Nothobranchius furzeri: one gene and its partner. The protein of the gene in region 1 purifies or fractionates together with the protein of each later gene. This does not show direct contact. Links are inferred from orthologs where the notes say so. Each region holds a gene or a part of one and is shown in the gene's direction. Other genes may lie near its edges.

Region 1 (9,912 bases):
TTTGCCGTGCATTTATGTTGTATTTACATGTTCTTATACCTTATTTTGATGCTGTTCTCGTATCAACCCTTCATTTAGCTCGCAGGGTAAGAACTGTGTGATCGACAAGTTAAAGTTCATCTTAATATCACAGATTTGTTGTTATCCATAGTTTCTCTCAACGCCAGGGGTCTAAGGGATAACTTGAAACGAAAAGCTTTATTTGTGTTTGGGAAACAATGCAAAACTGATTTTTGTTTTGTTCAGGAAACTCATACAGGTGATGATGATGTCTGCTTTTGGAAATCTCAGTGGGGAAATGAGACCTTTTTCTCACATGCTACACAAAGGTCTGCTGGAGTTTGTACTCTTAAACACTTTTACTGATAAAATAATACATACTGACTGTGATGATAATGGTCACTATATATGTCAGATTCTGGAAATATATACTTACAACTTCATTCTAATTAACATATATGGATTAAACTCGACATGTGAGAATAACAATTTGCTTACAATCATGGAAAAGACAATTTGTTATTGGTTGGCTAAATTCCCTCATGCTTATCTAGTTATAGGAGATGATTTTAATGTCACTTTGGACAACACCATGGATAGGTGGCCACCAGGTCCTCAATCTAATGCTAATATACACCTAAAATCAATAATGCAAAGATTTGATCTAATAGATATTTGGAGGAAAAAATACCCACATGACAGAATTTTTACCTGGGGTAATAAACAAGAACCAGACAATCAAGAATAGATTTTTGGTTAATTTCAAATATTCTCGATGAATATGTCAAGGTTGACATTCTCTCGACTCATTTGACTGACCACAAGGCCATCCAAATGAACATTTCTGTACTTCCTTCTTCCACCACACACCAACATAGTGCATACTGGAAACTCAACAGCTCCATCTTGTGTCATGGCATAGTAAAAGCCAAGGTTAAGGAACTAATACAAGCTTTTTGGAATGAGGCCCAGGCTGAAAAAGTATATGGGAGTAAATGGGAACTTCTAAAGTTTAAAGCTGGAAATTTTTTTTAGAAAATACTGTAGTGAGCTAGCAAAATGCAAACATTATGAAGAAGAAAATGTGATTTCTAAAAAAACACAGTTGTCATCTATTTGTCCAGATAAGTTATCCCCTGAAGAAAAAGAAACTATTTGAATTTCAAAATAAGCTGGATAAACTATCCATCTAGACATTATGTATATATATATATATATATATATATATATATATATATATATATATATATATATATATATATATATATATATATATATATGTATTACAGTGGGGCAAAAAAGTATTTAGTCAGCCACCGATTGTGCAAGTTCTCCCACTTAAAATGATGACAGAGGTCAGTAATTTACAACATAGGAACACTTCAACTGTGAGAGACAGAATGTGAAAAAAAATCCATGAATTCACATGGCAGGATTTTTTAAAATTTTATTTGTAAATCAGGGTGGAAAATAAGTATTTGGTCAATAACAAAAATTCAACTCAATACTTTGTAACATAACCTTTGTTGGCAATAACAGAGATCAAACGATTACTATAGGTCTTTACCAGGTTTGCACACACAGTAGCTGGTATTTTGGCCCATTCCTCCATGCAGATCTTCTCGAGAGCAGTGATGTTTTGGGGCTGTCGCCGAGCAACACAGACTTTCAACTCCCTCCACAGATTTTCTATGGGGTTGAGGTCTGGAGACTGGCTAGGCCACTACAGGACTTTCAAATGCCACTCCTTTGTTGTCCGGGCAGTGTGTTTGGGATCATTGTCGTGTTGGAAGACCCAGCCACGTTTCATCTTCAAAGCTCTCACTGATGGAAGAAGGTTTTGGCTCAGAATCTCACGATACATGGCCCCATTCATTATTTCCTTAACACGGATCAGTCGTCCTGTCCTCTTAGCAGAAAAACAGCCCCAAAGCATGATGTTCCCACCCCCATGCTTCACAGTAGGTATGGTGTTCTTGGGATGCAACTCAGTATTCTTCTTCCTCCAAACACGACGAGTTGAGTTTATACCAAAAAGTTCTTCTTTGGTTTCATCTGACCACATGACATTCTCCCAATCCTCTACTGTATCATCCATGTGCTCTCTGGCAAACTTCAGACGGGCCTGGACATGCACTGGCTTCAGCAGCGGAACACGTCTGGCACTGCAGGATTTGATTCTCTGCCGTTGTAGTGTGTTACTGATGGTGACCTTTGTTACTGTGGTCCCAGCTCTCTGCAGGTCATTCACCAGGTCCCCCCGTGTGGTTCTGGGATTCTTGCTCACCGTTCTCATGATCATTTTGACCCCACGGGATGAGAGCTTGCGTGGAGCCCCAGATCGAGGGAGATTATCAGTGGTCTTGTATGTCTTCCATTTTCTGATAATTGCTCCCATAGTTGATTTTTTCACACCAAGCTGCTTGCCTATTGTAGATTCACTCTTCCCAGCCTGGTGCAGGTCTACAATTCTTTTCCTGGTGTCCTTCGAAAGCTCTTTGGTCTTGGCCATAGTGGAGTTTGGAGTGTGACTGTTTGAGGCTGTGGACAGGTGTCTTATAATGAGTTCAAACAGGTGCCATTAATACAAGTAACGACTGGAGGACAGAAAAGCTTCTTAAAGAAGACGTTACAGGTCTGTGAGAGCCAGAGATTTTCCTTGTTTGAAGTGACCAATCTGAGCGGTTGAATCTGATTTGTCCTGTTCTGACAAACAAATGTCAGATCTGTATACTAGTAAGAAATGTATTATCAAACATGCTCACTTAGATTATTATTCAGTCAGAGTTACATCATATAATCCATTCGTTTCACTGAAAAAGGAGCAGGCAGAACTATGAACTTGTTTAGCCCGTCCAAGTAACATGGAAGAAAAAATACATGTATCTGTATGTAAATGTAGTTAAAATGTCTTCCCACAATAGCTCATGTAGATTCTGTCTGAGTTATACCATAAAAATCCTACAGTTCCACTAAAAGAGTATTTACCTGCAAACTAGCCTGTTAGCTCAGCTTTCTGCTGCTTCCTCTGTAGCAAGTTAGCAGTACACAGGTTAGCTCCAGTAGCTGCAAAGTCTCTGATGTTCCACAGGTTCCTGAAAAATTAGCAAACTTATTAACATAAACTGCAATAATTAATTCCATGAAACCAGTAATGAATATGTTAAGATGAATTTTTAATACGTCTCTCTGGAACAATAGACCATTGTCCTTAGGCTAGCACAATGCTTGCTTAGCAGCTAGCTAGTGAGCTAACGTCTGGTTAAAACCAACTTAAAAAGTGGCTTAATTTACAGATTAACTAAGAAAAGATCAAATATATCATCAATTGTCACTTTAGATCCTCAGTAGACACCACAGACAGCAGAAATAATGTGTTTGGGGCTCAAAATTCATGTTGTTGACCGAGGTGGGAAAAGAATGTCTTGGAGGCTACATCACTTCCGGGTCACTGAACAGTCACTCAAGAGAAACCACTGTCCTATAGGAGAGGACTTCTCAGAAGTCCCACCCACCCGAAAGGGTTGTGTCAGAATTGCAACCAAAAACTCAGGGATTGCAAAAGAGAAAGCCAGAAAGTTTAAGTGCAAATCTGGTAGTGAGAGCTAAGCTGTGTGCAGCGAGAACGAAACTAAGGAAACTGATAACAAAAACACATAGAGGCAAACAGAAAAAGGAAACATACTTTGTTACTCATTTTAAGAAGTTGATTCAGATCATAAGTTTTTCTTTTGAAACAATTTTTTTCTCTCGCAATGTCTTAATATTTGATCTTCAAAGTGTTTTTCTTGATCCTATTGGCACAAATCTAATCCCATAGCATCGCTCACCGGGCGGTGGTGAAACCGGAGGAGCCCCTGCGAAGGTCACTCAGAAGCCCCGTTTATGCTAAAATGAAGCAGCAGCGCTCGCGACGTTATACAGACGCCATTTTGTATCCCGGGTGTCAACCAAGAGATTACCCGCGCTAACGTTTCTCTTAATTTGGACTATCATCAACACGGCGGATCAGCATCGTGCACCCACAGGTAGCTTCGCGTGGTAGGTAGCAACAAACATGGTAGCCCCGAGTTTGGCTCGTGCACGCGCCTCTACAGCGTGCTGCTCGACCGGCTGTGCTAACCGGTCTTTTGAGGAAAGAATCGGACACGCGTCCATCGATGCCGTTATTGGGGTAATGCAGGGAAAGGAGAGCTTATGGCTCATAGCCAACAGTGTTTAATACATCACGGTACACGTTCTCCATTCACCGGTGTCGGCGCGGTAACTACCGAGGCCTACTACGGGGGAAGCAGTAGCTCAGGTGGTAGAGCGGATTGCCTCGTGATCGGAGGGTCATGGGTTCGATTCCAGCTCCCGCCAGGGGTATCCTGCTGTTGTGTCCTTGGGCAAGACACTTCACCCAACTTGCCTGTGTTAGTGGTGGTCAGAGGGGCCGACGGCGCCAAATGGCAGCCTCGCCTCTGTCAGACCTCCCCAGGGCGGCTGTGGCTACAAGTGTGTGAATGTGAGAGTGTGTGAAAGCGTCTTTGGGTGTCTAGAAAAGCGCTATATAAACTCAGTGCATTATTATTATTATTATTATTACTCGAGCCCCACGCGCTCTCAGGTGTGGTGAGTGTTGGTTTCAGCAGTTATGGTCCATTAGACCGGGTCGCTGCTCTGGGGCTACTTATCCATGTTTTTGTTTGTTTTAAACGACTCCGATCTGTCGCTGATGGGTTTTCAGTTTAGTAACGATCTAACCGGATCAGTGTGGTCAGACGATGTCCGCTGTCCAGCTCGATGGCGCCAAATACCGGCGGCTGTTGTCTGAAGTCACCCGGAAACAGATCAGTTAGCTGTGTTTAAACCAGTCTAGGATCACAACAGGTGTTATCGGTAGATTTACCCACTAACACAACAGTTAGGCCAGGGCAATCTAACGCTGGTCTTCCCGGGCCACCGTGTAGCATGTTTTGGTTGTTTTCCTGCTCCAACACACCTGGTTCAGTTCGCTTCCCTAAGAAACCAATTACTGGAGCAGACACACCAGAACGGTGGCCCTGGAGGACAAGGGTTAGACCATTGGACCAGGGTTATCAACTTTAAAGAGCAAGTCACCCCCAAATCTACTTCTTTTGCTGATACATTATATAAACTAGTGTCTAATCGGGCTGTAGACGCATGCAGTCAATAATTTGGGCCTTTAGTGTATCATACTTCAAATGTAAATAATATTCCTAAAACTCAGTGTCGCACCGTGTTCAGGTAAACACCCTGCACTGCAGCTGAATTTAAATCTGACATTGCTATTGGCTAAGAGGTACACCATGACGTTAGCTGGTACATTATGTCACAATGTTGTTGTGAACCTGTGTTCGTGTGTGTGTGCGTGCGCTAGGCAACAGCATTTGTTGCATTTTTCAAACAGGAAGTGGGAGTGGAGTAAGACTGATAAGATGTGACTGGATAAGAAAAGATTCATAATCAAACTAGTAAGTCAAGAGCATTGAGGGGGTTTATTCTGTCGTAAAAACTTTGTGTTCAGAGTTAGGGATGCATGTTCATACGATACGTATCGCGATACAGAGTAGAAAATATCGCGATACTAAAAGCTGAGGAATATTTCCGAGACTGAATTTAAATGAAAGAAGCATCATGGTAAACAGTCCAAACTGTTACATGTGCTGGTGCAACCAACGCAAAGGGATCTACATTTCATCACAGGAAATAAAAATTTGCCCTTTAACTGGGCGGTGTTTTAACTGGTAGAGTTGAGTTTCAGCTCAAACTGTACGACTTCCTTGCAGAGCAAGTCTCACGAGTTACGTGCTCACACTGTATGTCTGGTAGCGACATGTTGGGCCCACAAATATGCTAAAATCAGCTGTTTTTACACAACACGTCAGACTTATCGTATTATTAGGGATGCACGTAGTTAACTGCTTAATTGCCTTTAATGTTGTGACCAGGTAAACTAGTTTTTTCCAGTTAACTGTTTCAAGTCCTTCTGCTGTGCTTGGTGCAATATATTTTGTGCCACTAGAGGACGCAAGAGTGCCACTGTCAAATGGTTTACTGGGCGACCGCAGAAGAAGAAATGAGCTCATCACAAGACCTAACAAATGTGCTGAAACACAAGCGGTTATTAGAGTTAGCGGTTATTGTTTGTTCTTTCGTTATTTCATTCTTGGAGCACAAAAAGCCTCACATCAGAGCGCCGAGCCGAGACCAGCAGCAGGTCCGTCGGCCGTGACGCTCCTTATGCCTGATGCCTTATTTGTCCAGTACAATAAAGAAATTAAGTTTTCTTGCATTCAACTAAATAATTACACTAGGTGTTAAAACCGCGGCCAGACTGCACTTATCAGCACGTGATCACAAGCAGCGCTGCGTATCTGAGATCAGATGGTCCGCTGAGTCTGACGGACAATCCAGCTGTCATCCCACTCTCTTTACTTTTGTTCATAAACATAACGAGTGTGGGACTTAAGTCGTGAGTCATTGTATTAAAGAGTAGATGGAGAAAGTGTTATTCATAGAGCGAGGCAAATGTTTGGGGGGGGCTATTGACCGCTACGGAGCGTCGCTAGCCGGTTAAAGAAAGTTTGGTAAGCATACATCCCCAGTTGTTATTGTCCGTTGGGATCGCTGGAGGTTGGAGGAGGAAGACGATGAAAGTGAATCAACATCTTATCAGTTTAATCTGACAAACACGCCGTCTTGACAGTCCTTGTTATTGTGTGCAATAGTGTACAAATAAAAATGAGCAAATAGGGAAACAGCTGGTGAGCTGCGCTGATGCATGTGTGCACATGCGCCGTGAGCACTTCTAGTTAAAGATCTAACGGTTTAAAACTGGCTACAGAACAATTTGTACATGTTTACTCAGCGTTTCTAAAAGACATAGATCTGTCTCCCATGAGCCCCGGTGGTAACTGAGCTCTGTGTCTGCAGATGTCTGGAGACATGGCCACAGACCACGTTAACGGGAACACAGAGGAGCCCACGGACACATCAGCAGTGGCCCACACGGAACATTTCCCGGCCTTGTTGGAAGCTGGTTTAGCTCAGAAGGTAGCGGAGAAGCTAGATGAGCTGTTTGCAGAAGGTACGGTCTGCAGTTACCTGACAACAGTGTTTCCTACCTGTATGGTGGTGTTGGTTGGTGTGAGAGCAGAACATCATTAAGTGCATCTAATAATAGTTACTGCATTTCCTGCCACAGGTCTGGTGGCTCACAGTGACCTGGATGAACGAGCCCTCGAAGCTTTAAAGGAGTTTAATGAAGATGGAGCTCTGCAGGTGCTGGTCCAGTTTAAGGAGAGTGATCTGTCACACGTACAGGTAAGCATCCTCACCTGGAGGCTTTCACACTGACTTTTTTCATTTGAAAAGGAATTGTTGTTTTCCAGAACAAAAGTGCCTTTCTTTGTGGGGTGATGAAGACCTACAGGCAGAGAGAGAAACAAGGGACTAAAGTCTCACCTTCCACCAAAGGACCAGACGAGGCAAAGATAAAAGAGCTGCTAGAAAGAACCAGCTACACCCTGGACGTAACGACAGGCCAGAGGAAGTACGGAGGACCTCCACCCGAGTCTGTGTTCTCCGGTCCCCAGCCAACCATCGGGACTGAGGTGAGATGTCTGCGGGTCTGAAGATCAAACCTGAGAGGGAAAAATCATTTATGTTTCAGCTTATGAAGGTCAAACACACAGCCAGTAAATGCTATCACCAATGAAACACGGACAGCCTAACGGACACGGTTGGACTCCCACCCCCAGATATTTGTTGGAAAGATTCCTCGTGACCTGTTTGAAGATGAGCTGGTTCCTCTCTTTGAGAAGGCGGGGCCTATCTGGGACCTCAGGTTAATGATGGACCCCCTGAGCAGCCTGAACAGGGGCTACGCCTTCATCACCTTCTGTGCTAAAGAAGGAGCCCAGGAGGCTGTGAAGCTGGTCAGTTAAACAGAAGTAGCCCAGGTGTTGAAGGTAAACTCATCATCTCTAAGCTCTGTGTTGTGTTGTGTAGTGTAACAACTACGAGATCCGCCCTGGGAAGCACATCGGCGTTTGCATCTCTGTTGCCAACAACAGGCTGTTTGTTGGCTCCATCCCCAAGAACAAAAACAAGGAGCAGATCGTGGAAGAGTTCTCTAAAGTCACAGGTAGGCGCTGCCGTAGAAACGCATCTGACCACAAGCCCTCTGTGATCGCTGTTTTCTGTCTGAGCAGAAGGTGTCAGTGATGTCATACTGTACCATCAACCCGATGACAAGAAGAAGAACCGAGGTTTCTGCTTCCTGGAGTACGAAGACCACAAAACCGCTGCTCAGGCCCGCCGCCGACTAATGAGCGGTAAGGTCAAGGTCTGGGGCAACCTGGTGACGGTCGAGTGGGCGGATCCCATCGAGGACCCCGACCCAGATGTCATGGCCAAGGTGAGCCGAGACTTACCGAGCCCGAAGAGGCTCGAGGGGAAGTCAGGAACTAATAACGTATATTTCAGTTAAAGTAGCGCGGCGGGACAGGCGGCCCGAAGCTGAGCTGCTGCTGCTTCCTGTTGCAGGTGAAGGTCTTATTTGTCAGGAATCTCGCCAACGGCGTTACGGAGGAGCTCCTGGAGACGACCTTCAGCCAGTTTGGAAATTTAGAGCGAGTGAAGAAACTAAAAGACTACGCCTTTATTCACTTTGCAGAGCGGGACGGAGCAGCAAAGGTACGGCAGAACTCCAACACCGTACAGCCGCTTCAGACGGCGTCCTAAACCCGGTTTGTGTTCGTCAGGCCCTTCAAGACCTGAACGGGAAGGAGCTGGAAGGGGAGCCCATCGAGATTGTTTTTGCCAAACCGCCAGATCTGAAAAGACAAGAGCGTAAAGCCCAGAGACAAGCCGCTAGGACACAGATGTAAGTCCCTCCCCTTAAGTGGCAGGATGACATCATCACTATTTACCCACAGTGAGCCTAAAGAAACAAACAGCTTTATAATAGTGGTTTACCTGGAGAATCAGAGCTTTGATGTGTGTTTTTTTTCTATCCACCAGGTTTAATGACTATTACCACTTCCCCCCTCCTGCCCACGTATCTCCTTCCAGCAGGGGGCGGGGCCGAGGGGCCAATCGCGGCGGCTACTCCTACGCTCCTGACTACTACAGTTACGAGGACTACTATGACTACTACAGCTACGACTATCACAACTATCGCAGCGGCTACGATGACCCGTACTATGGCTACGATGACTACCAGGGCAGAGGGCGGAGCGGCAGCCGAGGCCTCCGGGGCGGAGCCTCGCCAGCTAGAGGACGTGGCGGCGTGGGGCCGCCCAGGGGCAGGGCCAACTTCTCCCAGCGCGGTGGGCCAGGACCAGGCCGAGGCGGGCGCAGAGCACGAGGAGGCATGCAGCCGAGAGGGCGAGGAGGGGTACGTGGTGCTCGGGGTGGTCGCGGTGGAAATGTAGGAGGAAAGCGCAAAGCTGACGGGTACAACCAGCCCGATTCCAAACGGCGCCAGACCAATAATCAGAACTGGGGCTCGCAACCCATTGTTCAGCAGCCGCTCCATGGTGGCGATCATTCTGGTAACTATGGTTACAAATCTGACAACCAGGAGTTTTATCAGGATTCTTTTGGGCAACAGTGGAAGTAGAGCCGACGGGCTTCGATTAAATAAGCTCTTTGTTTTTGTCTTTTTAGAGACTTGATCTGATTGGCCCTCAGTCCTCACAGTTGCCTGCATTTTTTTCTGTTTTCCTCCAAATTGGTAACATGAGCAGATCTTTATTTGAATAATACACTTGGACTCCCAACATAGCCACACTCCCACGTGTTACTCCTGCCTGGTTTGTACGATTTTCACAGCAAACTTTTAAACCCTTTTTTTAGACGACCAATGTGCTGGAGCGGCATTCTGGCTCCGGCTCTGTGTTT
Region 2 (9,434 bases), on another chromosome or scaffold:
AATTATTAACAACATGTTGATCACGGTGATCTTTAAGAGCTGAATCATACAAATGTCTGTATTTATGAACCTCTGCCATACTAGTTCTTGCCAGTCCGCCATGTTTTTCCGCGTCTGACCGTCCGCATGGTTAGAAAATTTCCTAGGTGCATGGTGCTGAAATTTTGGGCCGTGCGGAGGCGCGGTAGAGGGGCGTGGTTGCTAAAATGACGCAATTTCGCCGTGCGGACGCATCAAGCATGAACCAATCTTTAGTCTGTAGTGATGAAGAGCAGTAGAGGATACCATATCTGCTAGGATGTTGAGGGTTGTTGGTAAATACTTTTAAACACCTTCAGAAGTGGAAGATGAACTTCAGCGTGCTGCTGTCATTTCGTATCAAAGCTGTCATCGGCAACCCTGTGGTTGTGGTGCAGGTAGTCCAGGACAACACGTTTTAGTTTAAATCACCAGTAAGGGATATGTGGATGCAGTGGGACAACACCAGTCTGGAGCTGGCTTTAATGGAAGAGGCAGATGAGGGAAACTCTTTGATAACTCAACTAAATGGACTGTTCATGCATTACATTCCCAGGCAGACACACACCACTACAGCTTCACTGATGAGCTCACGAGTCCCTGTAGCCACAGCCCACCAGTAAACACACTCCTGACTCGGTCAGAGAGAGGTCTCCACTCACCTTAGACCTGTGGTAGGAACATGACTTCACTTGGTTGGGATTACTCCAACAGGTCGCCCAGTTTTGTGCTTGTTTTTTTTTTTTTTTTTTTTTTAACTACCTTGTGTTTGTTTATTGTTTTGTTTCCTCAGTTGGTCCATTTTTGTGGGACTATTGGGGGTTTGGTAAGGCCCTATCATTGGGTGGGTAACTTGTTGTCATCTCTGGTGAACCAGGAAGTGGAGGGGTGGTGGTAAGGCCCCTGATGGAGAGGTTGTGATGCTGCTCTGGTGCAGAGGAATTTTGGTAAGGCTCTACCGGTGGCTCAGATGTTCATGAGGCCATTGGCAGCAAGCTCATGGAATGAGTGTCTAGTGCGCCACACGGTGATGGGTCCGTTCCGGGCTTCCTGGAATCACTCTAGATTTAAACTCTCCAAAACTAAAAGTAATTCTGATTTTAGACAGCCAGCTTTGGTCCGTGTGGCCTTGAATTCATCAGCTGGCTAGACTGGATGATGAGATGTGGTATTGGCTGTACAGTGATCCCTCGTTTATCGCGGTAGATGCGTTCCAGACCTGGATGTGATAGGTGAAAATCCGCGAAGTAGGGACACCATATTTACAGTATTTATTTAACAGGTTCGTATTCAGTATTCAGACTTTTAAAACCCTCCATTTACATAGTACTGTATTTTTACTTGTTTTTTTTTTATAGTTTTATTACAAAAAGTGCATTTTATGATAAAATCGATGAAAAAAAACAGGAATTTCTTGATATTTCGCATAGAAAAATACCGCGAATCGGCGAATTTCCCTTCAATAAGGCTCCAAAGAAAAAATCCGCGGTCGTGAATCCATGATAAAACGAACTGCGAAGTAGCGAGGGATCACTGCATACACACACACACACCACACACACACACACACACCACACACACACAGATGTGATGTTGCTGGCTACGTTAGAACCGTGGGATCTAAATGAGCCGGGCCTCAGGGCTTAATGACGGTCAGAGTGTAACGTATCAGTCACTCATCGGGTGGAAGGAGGTCCTCTTCCGTAATCCTTCGGCTTTTACCCAGGGAGCAGCCATCTCGGCTTCACCTGCTCCTGGTCAGTATATTAAAGCACCGTTTCCTGTTTTCATTTCTATTTTTTTCTCCCTTGCCCAAACTGGTGCTGTTGGAACTCCCATCTTAACTCCGCCTTCCCTCTTTCCCCTCTCTTGCAGCCGCCTACAAGCACGCGGACGGAAAGAAGATTGATGGCAGACGGGTGTTGGTGGACGTGGAACGGGGACGTACTGTCAAAGGATGGCGTCCTCGCAGGCTGGGTCAGTTTGTCCCTTTTAAATGTAGACGTGTCCTCTGTTGCACAGAGAGCCAGGTTAGGGTTAGTGTCCATCTTTTCTGAAGCAACACAAAAAATAAAATTTAGACAACAAAACAAGATAAAAATCACGAGGCACTTCACCAAAACAAAAATTTCAAACTGCAAAAAATATTAATTAAAATGAGCAAAAAATAGACAATTGTGATTAAAAATGTACAGAAAGAGAGAGAGTGAACAGGAAAGAGGGAAATCAGTGGATCCTGAGGAAGGTGGAATAGGTGGGGAGAGCAGAACAAGGAGAGGGTGATGAAGGTCACACTAAAGCCTGAACAGGTGAGTTTAAAGGAGACCACTGAGTCCACTGATCTCAGGCTCAGCGGGAGAGTTCCAGAGTCTGGGGGCCACAGCAGCAGATGATCTGTCACCTTTGGTCTTTAGCCTGGTGCTGCACAACCAGTAGGCTTTGATCACTGGACCTCAGGGACCTGCTGGGGGTGTAGGGACTAAGAAGATCACCAATGTATGATGGTGCTTGTCCATGTAAGGCCCTATAGACCAGAACCAGGATCTTGAAATGAACCCTGAAGTTGACTGGCAGCCAGTGAAGCTGGAGGAGAAGCGGGGTGATGTGGGTGTGTTTGGAGGACTTGGTCAGAAGCCGAGCACAGGCATTCTGGACCACCTGTAGACGGTTCAGGGAGGTTCTGCTCAGACACGTGAAAAGAGAGTTACAGTAGTCTAAGCGTGAGGAGATGAAGGTGTGGAGAACTGTCTCAAGTTCAGAGCGAGACAGAATGGGACTCAGCTTAGCAACGTTCCTGAGATGGAAGAAGGAAGAGCGAACAAGAGAACTAACATGAGAATCCAGGGTGAGAGCTGGGTCAAAGGTCACACCAAGATTCCTGACAGAGGGTTTGGTGTGAGAAGCAAGCTGACCAAGAGAGTCTCTGACTTTGGGGACCAGCTTGTCTGGGGCACAGATGAGGATCTCAGTCTTATCTTCATTCAGCTGAAGAAAGCTCCCACCATCCAGGTTATGATACTAAGCAGGTGTGTAACAGCTGCAGCTTTGACATCTCATGGGGCTCAACCCTTTAAGCGCCACAGTCACAATACTGCGAAAAGCGTTGTTGCTGACTTTAACAAGCCACAGCTACCATCCCTCATGAAGTCACTACTTTACACCAGAAGATAGTGGAGATGTGTAACTTCAGGCTGAACAACACTTATGGGTGCGTTTATATTAACAGTTTCTGAGTTTTTAGGGTTTGAAAACTGCGAGAGGTTCCCAGTCGAGGAGAGGACGGGTGGAGACGAGCGCAGCACGGAGAGGGCGAATATTAGAGGGATAAAACTTAAATTGCAGGCAGGTCTGGTCATGACTGACTCCGATTATAAAGCAGAATATTGTCTCTGATGAAGAAATTCACTCATCCAGCCGGAAAGATGACGCTACTGCAGCAACAGACAGCTGGTGCTGCACGAGAGTATGGTGTATGGAGCTTACAAGCTCCAAGCGTTAGGTTTGACGTTTGTTTCACCGTGTTTGGAACATGGTGGATGTAGAAATGATGGTAAAACACCGCTAATGTGACAGATGTCGCTGCAATGGGGAAAAAAAGCAGCAGATGTGTTACATATGGAAGTCAAACTGTGCCACATAACTATAAAAAATGTTCCTTCCCTTGGGTCAAATGATCATTACACTCATCCCTGGAGCTGTACAAGCCCAAAGAAACCTGACAAATATGGCTGAAAAGCATTCCTCTTGAGTGAGGCCAATGTAAATGTCAGATAATACAATATAAAAGCTAAACTATCTAATTGAAACTTCAAAGGAGCTTTATATATGGATATATAAATAAAAAAATTTAAATGTGATAAATTCAAAAATGATGCATTTCCATTACGGCAGCCTGGTGAGGTCAAAATATGACTGTTTCGGTTCTACTGAAGATTTTTCTCAGTTAATTTTGTCTCTAACCGTTTCCAAGCTACAACCTTTTCAAATAGTTGTGTTAAAATTAAATATTGTCTTGAAATATCTCTGGCACCCAAAAGGTTAAAGGAGATGTACAGTTGGATGTCATCTGCATAAAGATTGCATTAAAGGAGCTCCTTTGGTGTGTTTTCATTAGGGGTGGGACTCGATTAAAAAAATCTAATTCATCTTAATTAATCGTATCAGGAAAAAATACCCTGAAAGCAATTTTTTTCATTAAAAATGAGACAAAGAATGAAACATTCAACGTGGATATTGTTACTGTAAACTAAAGCTCTTAACTCATTCACTGCCAATGACAATTACATTACTGTGTGGGCGTCGGACGAGCCCCCGCGCAGAGAGAACAAACATCTCAGCTCTAAAGCCGATCTTCATCCGCGTACGTCACACGTCACGTGATCAGGAAGCAGAACATCCATGTGTTAGGAGATCGTTTTAGGCCGCTGCTGTAAAAAAAGTGAGGCGCGAACCGGAAAAGCTTCTGCTGATCACAAATCAACAACGGTTTATGAAAGAACAGATAACGCTCGAAACACGCAGATTCTTCCGCATGTAAGAGGTGAGTCTCCGCTTTGTTTTGGTAGTTTTGGCGTCGAGTGAGCAACGTTCTGTGACTCTTAAATAAACCGTAAGAATGGTGAGAAACGCTGGCAGCGATTGAGTTAATTTAAAAAATGCTTTTCAATTCTTCAAATGTCACTGTGTGATATGAAACAAGACCCAAATCAACTAAAATGTACAACTGCAGAACAGCTGCAAAGAGTTCCTGAGCCTTTAAATGGTCTCTGTTGATTTACTGAAATAGTTGGATTTTACTTGTTAGTATACTTTGGTGTTTTGTTATTTATTAGTCATTATGTAGTAAAATGTCTATAAATAAAAATCCTTAAAGACTCTAGAACAGGCACAAATCTGACCGAGGACTTGAATCTACTACCTGGCCAAATATTTTGAGCTGATTGGAGGACGTCAAGGTGGTGCCCATCTGACACTGGCTAGCCAATCAGTAACAACTCAAACCATGCCCACCTGTAACACAACTCGCTCAAGCTTCATTCACTCATACGGCAATTACCATGTCTTCGGGTGATTTCAGCCGCTTTTGCAAGAACAACATGTGCATAAAAGGTGTTTTAAGTCACACAGCTATGTTATTCGAACCTGCTAAAGCGACCCAGCAAATGTTAACTAAGCACTGAAACTGCGTCAGTCCAACATGGTTGAAAAATGGTTCTAAAGTGACATAAACGTCTTTCAGCGCGTCTCATTTGGATGTTTACTAATTAAAATTCAGGCTTATTACTGTAGAAAATACATATAATTAGTGGAATTAAAAACGTTTCCGTATGCCGTCGGAGTCGGATCGTCGTATGTCCTTGCCTGGATTCAAACCCGGGTCCCCGGCATGTAAGGTGGTCACCTTACTCTTTGACATGTAGATGATGTCACCTAGTGGATGTAGACTGATTCACAACATGCTTTATGTTGAACTACACGTAGCTATAAAATAACAATTATACATGTAGAAATGTAGCGGAATGGGATTTTAGGGAATTCTCGGTCATGTTTTAACTTATTTAAGACGTCCGACCGCGACCATTCTTGGCCGTGGGCCCGCGCTGCCGTCGTGACTTGATTGCTGTTAGCATCAACCGTTTTGCTTAGCCAGGTTGGTACTATCATCTAAACTAAGTCCCGCCCTACAGCACAGTGCTGACACATGATTGGATCGGCCTATTTTGGGCCGGAGGTCAGACGGTTTGAACTGTAGCGGTACAAGATGGATTCTCCTGAGTTTGGAAAACTCCAAATCTCGCAAAAATTAGCTTTCAGCGCAAGATTAATGCCACCGAGCAGCAGCTGGGATCAAAGACGGTCTCTGAAAAATAAGAGGCTGACGTGTTTTCCAGATACTGCGATTAGCAGAGCACTGCATCAGTGATATTCGGCCTACAAAGACAAAGGTTCCGCATTATTTCAAGTTTTAGCTGTGATTAAATGCATCGATTTTTTTAATGTGTATTTATTTTCTAATCCACACGTTAAAAGTCCCACCCCTAATGTTTATGTTGTTTTTCCAGGCGGGGGCTTAGGAGGCACTAGGAGAGGTGGAGCCGACGTGAACATCAAGCACTCGGGACGGGATGATGCGTCTCGTTATGATGATCGCACCCTGGGGGGGTGAGTACACTTGAGTACACCTGTCTGCTGTTATAATGCGTTTTTTATGACCTCTGACCTTTTGCTCTGAACAGTGACCGCATCGACAGGAGGGAGCGGAGCCGGGAGCGTGATCGGGACAAGGACAGGGAGCGTCGCAGGTCCCGTTCCCGCGAAAGACGCAGACACTCCCGGGACAGAGAGAGGGAAAGAGAAAGGCCAGTTGGTGCAGGGGAGGAGGGCGGTGGGAGCAGCCGGCGTCGTGAACGGGAGAGGGAACGTGGGGGAGCAGGTGGAGGAGACAGCAGGAGTAGGGAGAGAAGCAGAGACCGGAAAAGGAGAAGCAGGAGCCGGGACCGTAAGAGAGACAGGGAAAGGGGTAAAGGGGTGGACGGGGAGGAAGTGGCCCAGGGAGACGGTCCCCCTGAGGGAACTGAGCGCATGTTGGAGGAAAATGAAGGGGAGGTGGCTGAGGCCACAGAGGAGCGCAAAGAGAGGGACAGGGACAGAGACCGAGACCGAGACAGGAGGCGCAGTCACAGGGACAGAGACCGGCGGAGGGAACGAGACAGAGATAGGGAACACAAGCGGGAGCGTGGGGACAGAGACAGGGGGGAGCGGAGGGAGGAGCGCCACGGGTCCAATCGAGAAGACATGGGTCCTCAAGAGGACATGGGTAATGAGGAGGACAGCGCTCCGCCAAACATGGAGGAATACAGTCAGGATGGAATGATGGAGCAGCAGTCTGCACCGTCAGCTGATGACTATGGATCTGGCGAAAACGGATACAAGATGGAGGCACCAGATGAGTACTAAGCATGAGGTCCCCATCCCACAGGAAGTCCCCCTAAACAAGCCCTCCACTTCCTGTCCCAGGCCTCCAGAACCTCCTAAGGATCCAAACATTTAGTTAGCTTTCCTTTTTCCGCTCGTATGGCAACCATGTTGAGGTCCGCTGATCGCCCTGCTCGTCGGGGGTGGAGCTTAAAGCCGGAGCCAGGTGTGTTTAGAGGTGTTAGAAGCAGACGTGTTGTGGTGGAGCAGCTGAGCCTGTTTTGGTTTTTCATCTTTTTTTTATATCTGCAGGTCATTTTAATAAAGATGTCTTGATTGTGACAGTGGTGATTATTTTAGTACACAGCCTTTTGCCTGAGGTGCTGGTGCAACACACACACACTTTAATCCCTAAACGTTTTCTGAACGTCCTGCTGACCAGGACGACGTTCTGACTCATATTTTTATAAAACACGTTCTCAGTCCTGGTCCTGGAGACCCGGTTTCCAGCATGTTTTAGACCTTTCCCTGCCTTTAATCCACAGAGCTTCGTGTGCTGCCGAACAGGTGTTTGAGCAGAGGAACCAAAACCTGCCGGATACCGGTCCTCCAGAACCAGGATGGAGAACCCACTGTTCAGTTTCTACTGAGTCGAGGTTCTAGTTTTATTTTGACCCAGACCGTAGAGGTTCTGAAGTGGTTTCATCGCCAGAACTACAGATGTGGGTCCTGCGGGGCTGACTGCTGGTCCCGGTTCTGTACTTGCAGCCTCACGTCGGATTAAGTTATCTGCTGCTGATTATTTTATTCTCGGGTTTGGGTTCAGGTTCTGACGTGGACCTGGCCCGTAACGTTTCCTGTTCTAGTTTTAGAGTTCAGGTTTACCCCACCGGTTCCGTCCAGCTGAACGGTCTGGACTGTCTCACCTACGAGGTTGTGATGAGAACCTCCCCAGTGGTTCGGTCCAGAACAGCTCTGACCCGGAGGGGGCTGCTGCTGCTGCGCTTCTCTCAGCCTCTCGGAACCAGCCCGGTCTCATCATGCCCTCATCAGAGCAGCTGTGAGACTCCTGGACCAGAACCTGCCGTGACCATCAGACAAGGACCTCAGGATGATGTCCTCCTACCACCCTAAGGAAGCCGACATGTCGGCTACGACCGAACCGCTCTGCCTGGAAAGAGGTAGGTTTCGGGTCTGCAGCAGAACTGGGTCGGGTTTGCATCCCGGATCCAGAGACTAAACATGTACTGATGTCAAATGTGAGCCGCTCTGGAGCTTCCTGCTTCACGCGGTTCTGTTCGGACTCGGGAGCCTAGCACAGACGGGTTGGGCCTGTCCAGGTTCCGTTTTCAGCTGCATGTTTAATGTCTGAGCGGTTCCGGTAGCCTGTCGGAACCGGACCGGCTCTATATAGCCACCTGCAAAGATGGACCATTATGATCCGGACCGGTACCAACTAGCTTGTTCCGAACCGAGACGTCTCAGGTGTGAGTGGGTAAATATTAGCTCAGTAGTAAAAATGTTACATTTATGTCACGTGACCCTTTCCTAAAGCCATATTTTCATGAGGCTTTTAATTTGAAACTCAGGTTCTGACCGCCGCACAACTGACCTTCTGGGTTGGTTCTGATCATCAGTGTTGGAGCTGACCGGATGTTGGCCTCTCAGGACCAGGACTGGTTTAGGGTCAGCCAGACCAGCCCTGGGTCACCGACTCAGTTTGGTAGTCTAAAAACCCAACAGAACCAAACCTACATATGAGTTTAGTTCAGCAGAACCTAGCTGTGGGTTCCAAAGGGATTGAGACGTTCAGCTGAACCGGGTCCTTGTCGACTTTGGGTTTCTATGAAGTATATCCAGTCCCTCTATGGTTCTGGAGCACTCAGCTCTCCCTGCAGAGATCCAGAGCACAGATCTGACTGCTGTGGTTCTGGTCCAGAGGCACAGCCATGGACCGAGCCAGCATCAAGGCGTAGCCCTGCTCAGCAGAAAGCTGTGTGTCCATGTGGTTCTGTTGGTTGGTGATGGATGGTGCTGGTCATGCTCTTTCAGATCCAGACTGACCATTGGGTGATGGCTAACCGTCTACAGAACCAGAATATCTGAAGAAGGTGGACGGCTACATCACTCCGGACCCAGCAGGAGTAATGGGTGGGGGCTACGGGTGAAGCCCGGTGTAACCCAGGTTTGTCTTTTAGATGTGTGCCGGGTGATCGAGCTGCTGGACCGGCTGCAGCGGACCGGGGAGCTGCCCCCTCCCAAGCTGCAAGCCCTGCAGAGAGTCCTCCAGAGCAAATTCTGCGCCGCCATCAGGGAGGTACGTTACAGGCAGGGGCGTGTCCAGGGAGTGGCCTGGGGTGGCACATGCCACCCTTGGAATCTGATTGGCCACCCCAGGTGCCAACACACTAATTTCTTTAAATAGGCTTTTCATTGTCCACAAAAGGCTTGGGGGTAAAACAAAAAAAGCATAACCATTGGTGCCACCCATGCGCCTCACC

The links.
Region 2: the proteins of heterogeneous nuclear ribonucleoprotein Q-like (region 1) and snrnp70 purify together in Homo sapiens (affinity purification with mass spectrometry; 3 studies listed by BioGRID and IntAct, counting the BioPlex papers as one, with this or other methods). This does not show direct contact. The link is inferred for Nothobranchius furzeri from reciprocal best matches to the Homo sapiens genes SYNCRIP and SNRNP70.

What each region holds. Positions count from the first base shown.
Region 1 is NC_091742.1:17,028,725-17,038,636, reverse strand, and holds heterogeneous nuclear ribonucleoprotein Q-like, read left to right. Parts: upstream 1-3,888; 5' UTR 3,889-4,028; exon of another isoform or gene 4,029-4,041; intron 4,042-6,939; coding exon 6,940-7,093; intron 7,094-7,210; coding exon 7,211-7,329; intron 7,330-7,397; coding exon 7,398-7,619; intron 7,620-7,766; coding exon 7,767-7,943; intron 7,944-8,016; coding exon 8,017-8,152; intron 8,153-8,219; coding exon 8,220-8,425; intron 8,426-8,553; coding exon 8,554-8,703; intron 8,704-8,771; coding exon 8,772-8,893; intron 8,894-9,030; coding exon 9,031-9,631; 3' UTR 9,632-9,678; coding exon of another isoform or gene 9,679-9,686; 3' UTR 9,687-9,864; downstream 9,865-9,912. UniProt on the Homo sapiens protein: Heterogenous nuclear ribonucleoprotein (hnRNP) implicated in mRNA processing mechanisms. Component of the CRD-mediated complex that promotes MYC mRNA stability.
Region 2 is NC_091758.1:13,877,497-13,886,930, forward strand, and holds the end of snrnp70 (U1 small nuclear ribonucleoprotein 70 kDa), read left to right. Parts: intron 1-1,893; coding exon 1,894-1,995; intron 1,996-6,080; coding exon 6,081-6,180; intron 6,181-6,254; coding exon 6,255-6,975; 3' UTR 6,976-7,275; downstream 7,276-9,434. Other genes in the region: lin7b (protein lin-7 homolog B), read left to right, coding at 8,045-8,114, 9,132-9,250. UniProt on the Homo sapiens protein: Component of the spliceosomal U1 snRNP, which is essential for recognition of the pre-mRNA 5' splice-site and the subsequent assembly of the spliceosome. SNRNP70 binds to the loop I region of U1-snRNA.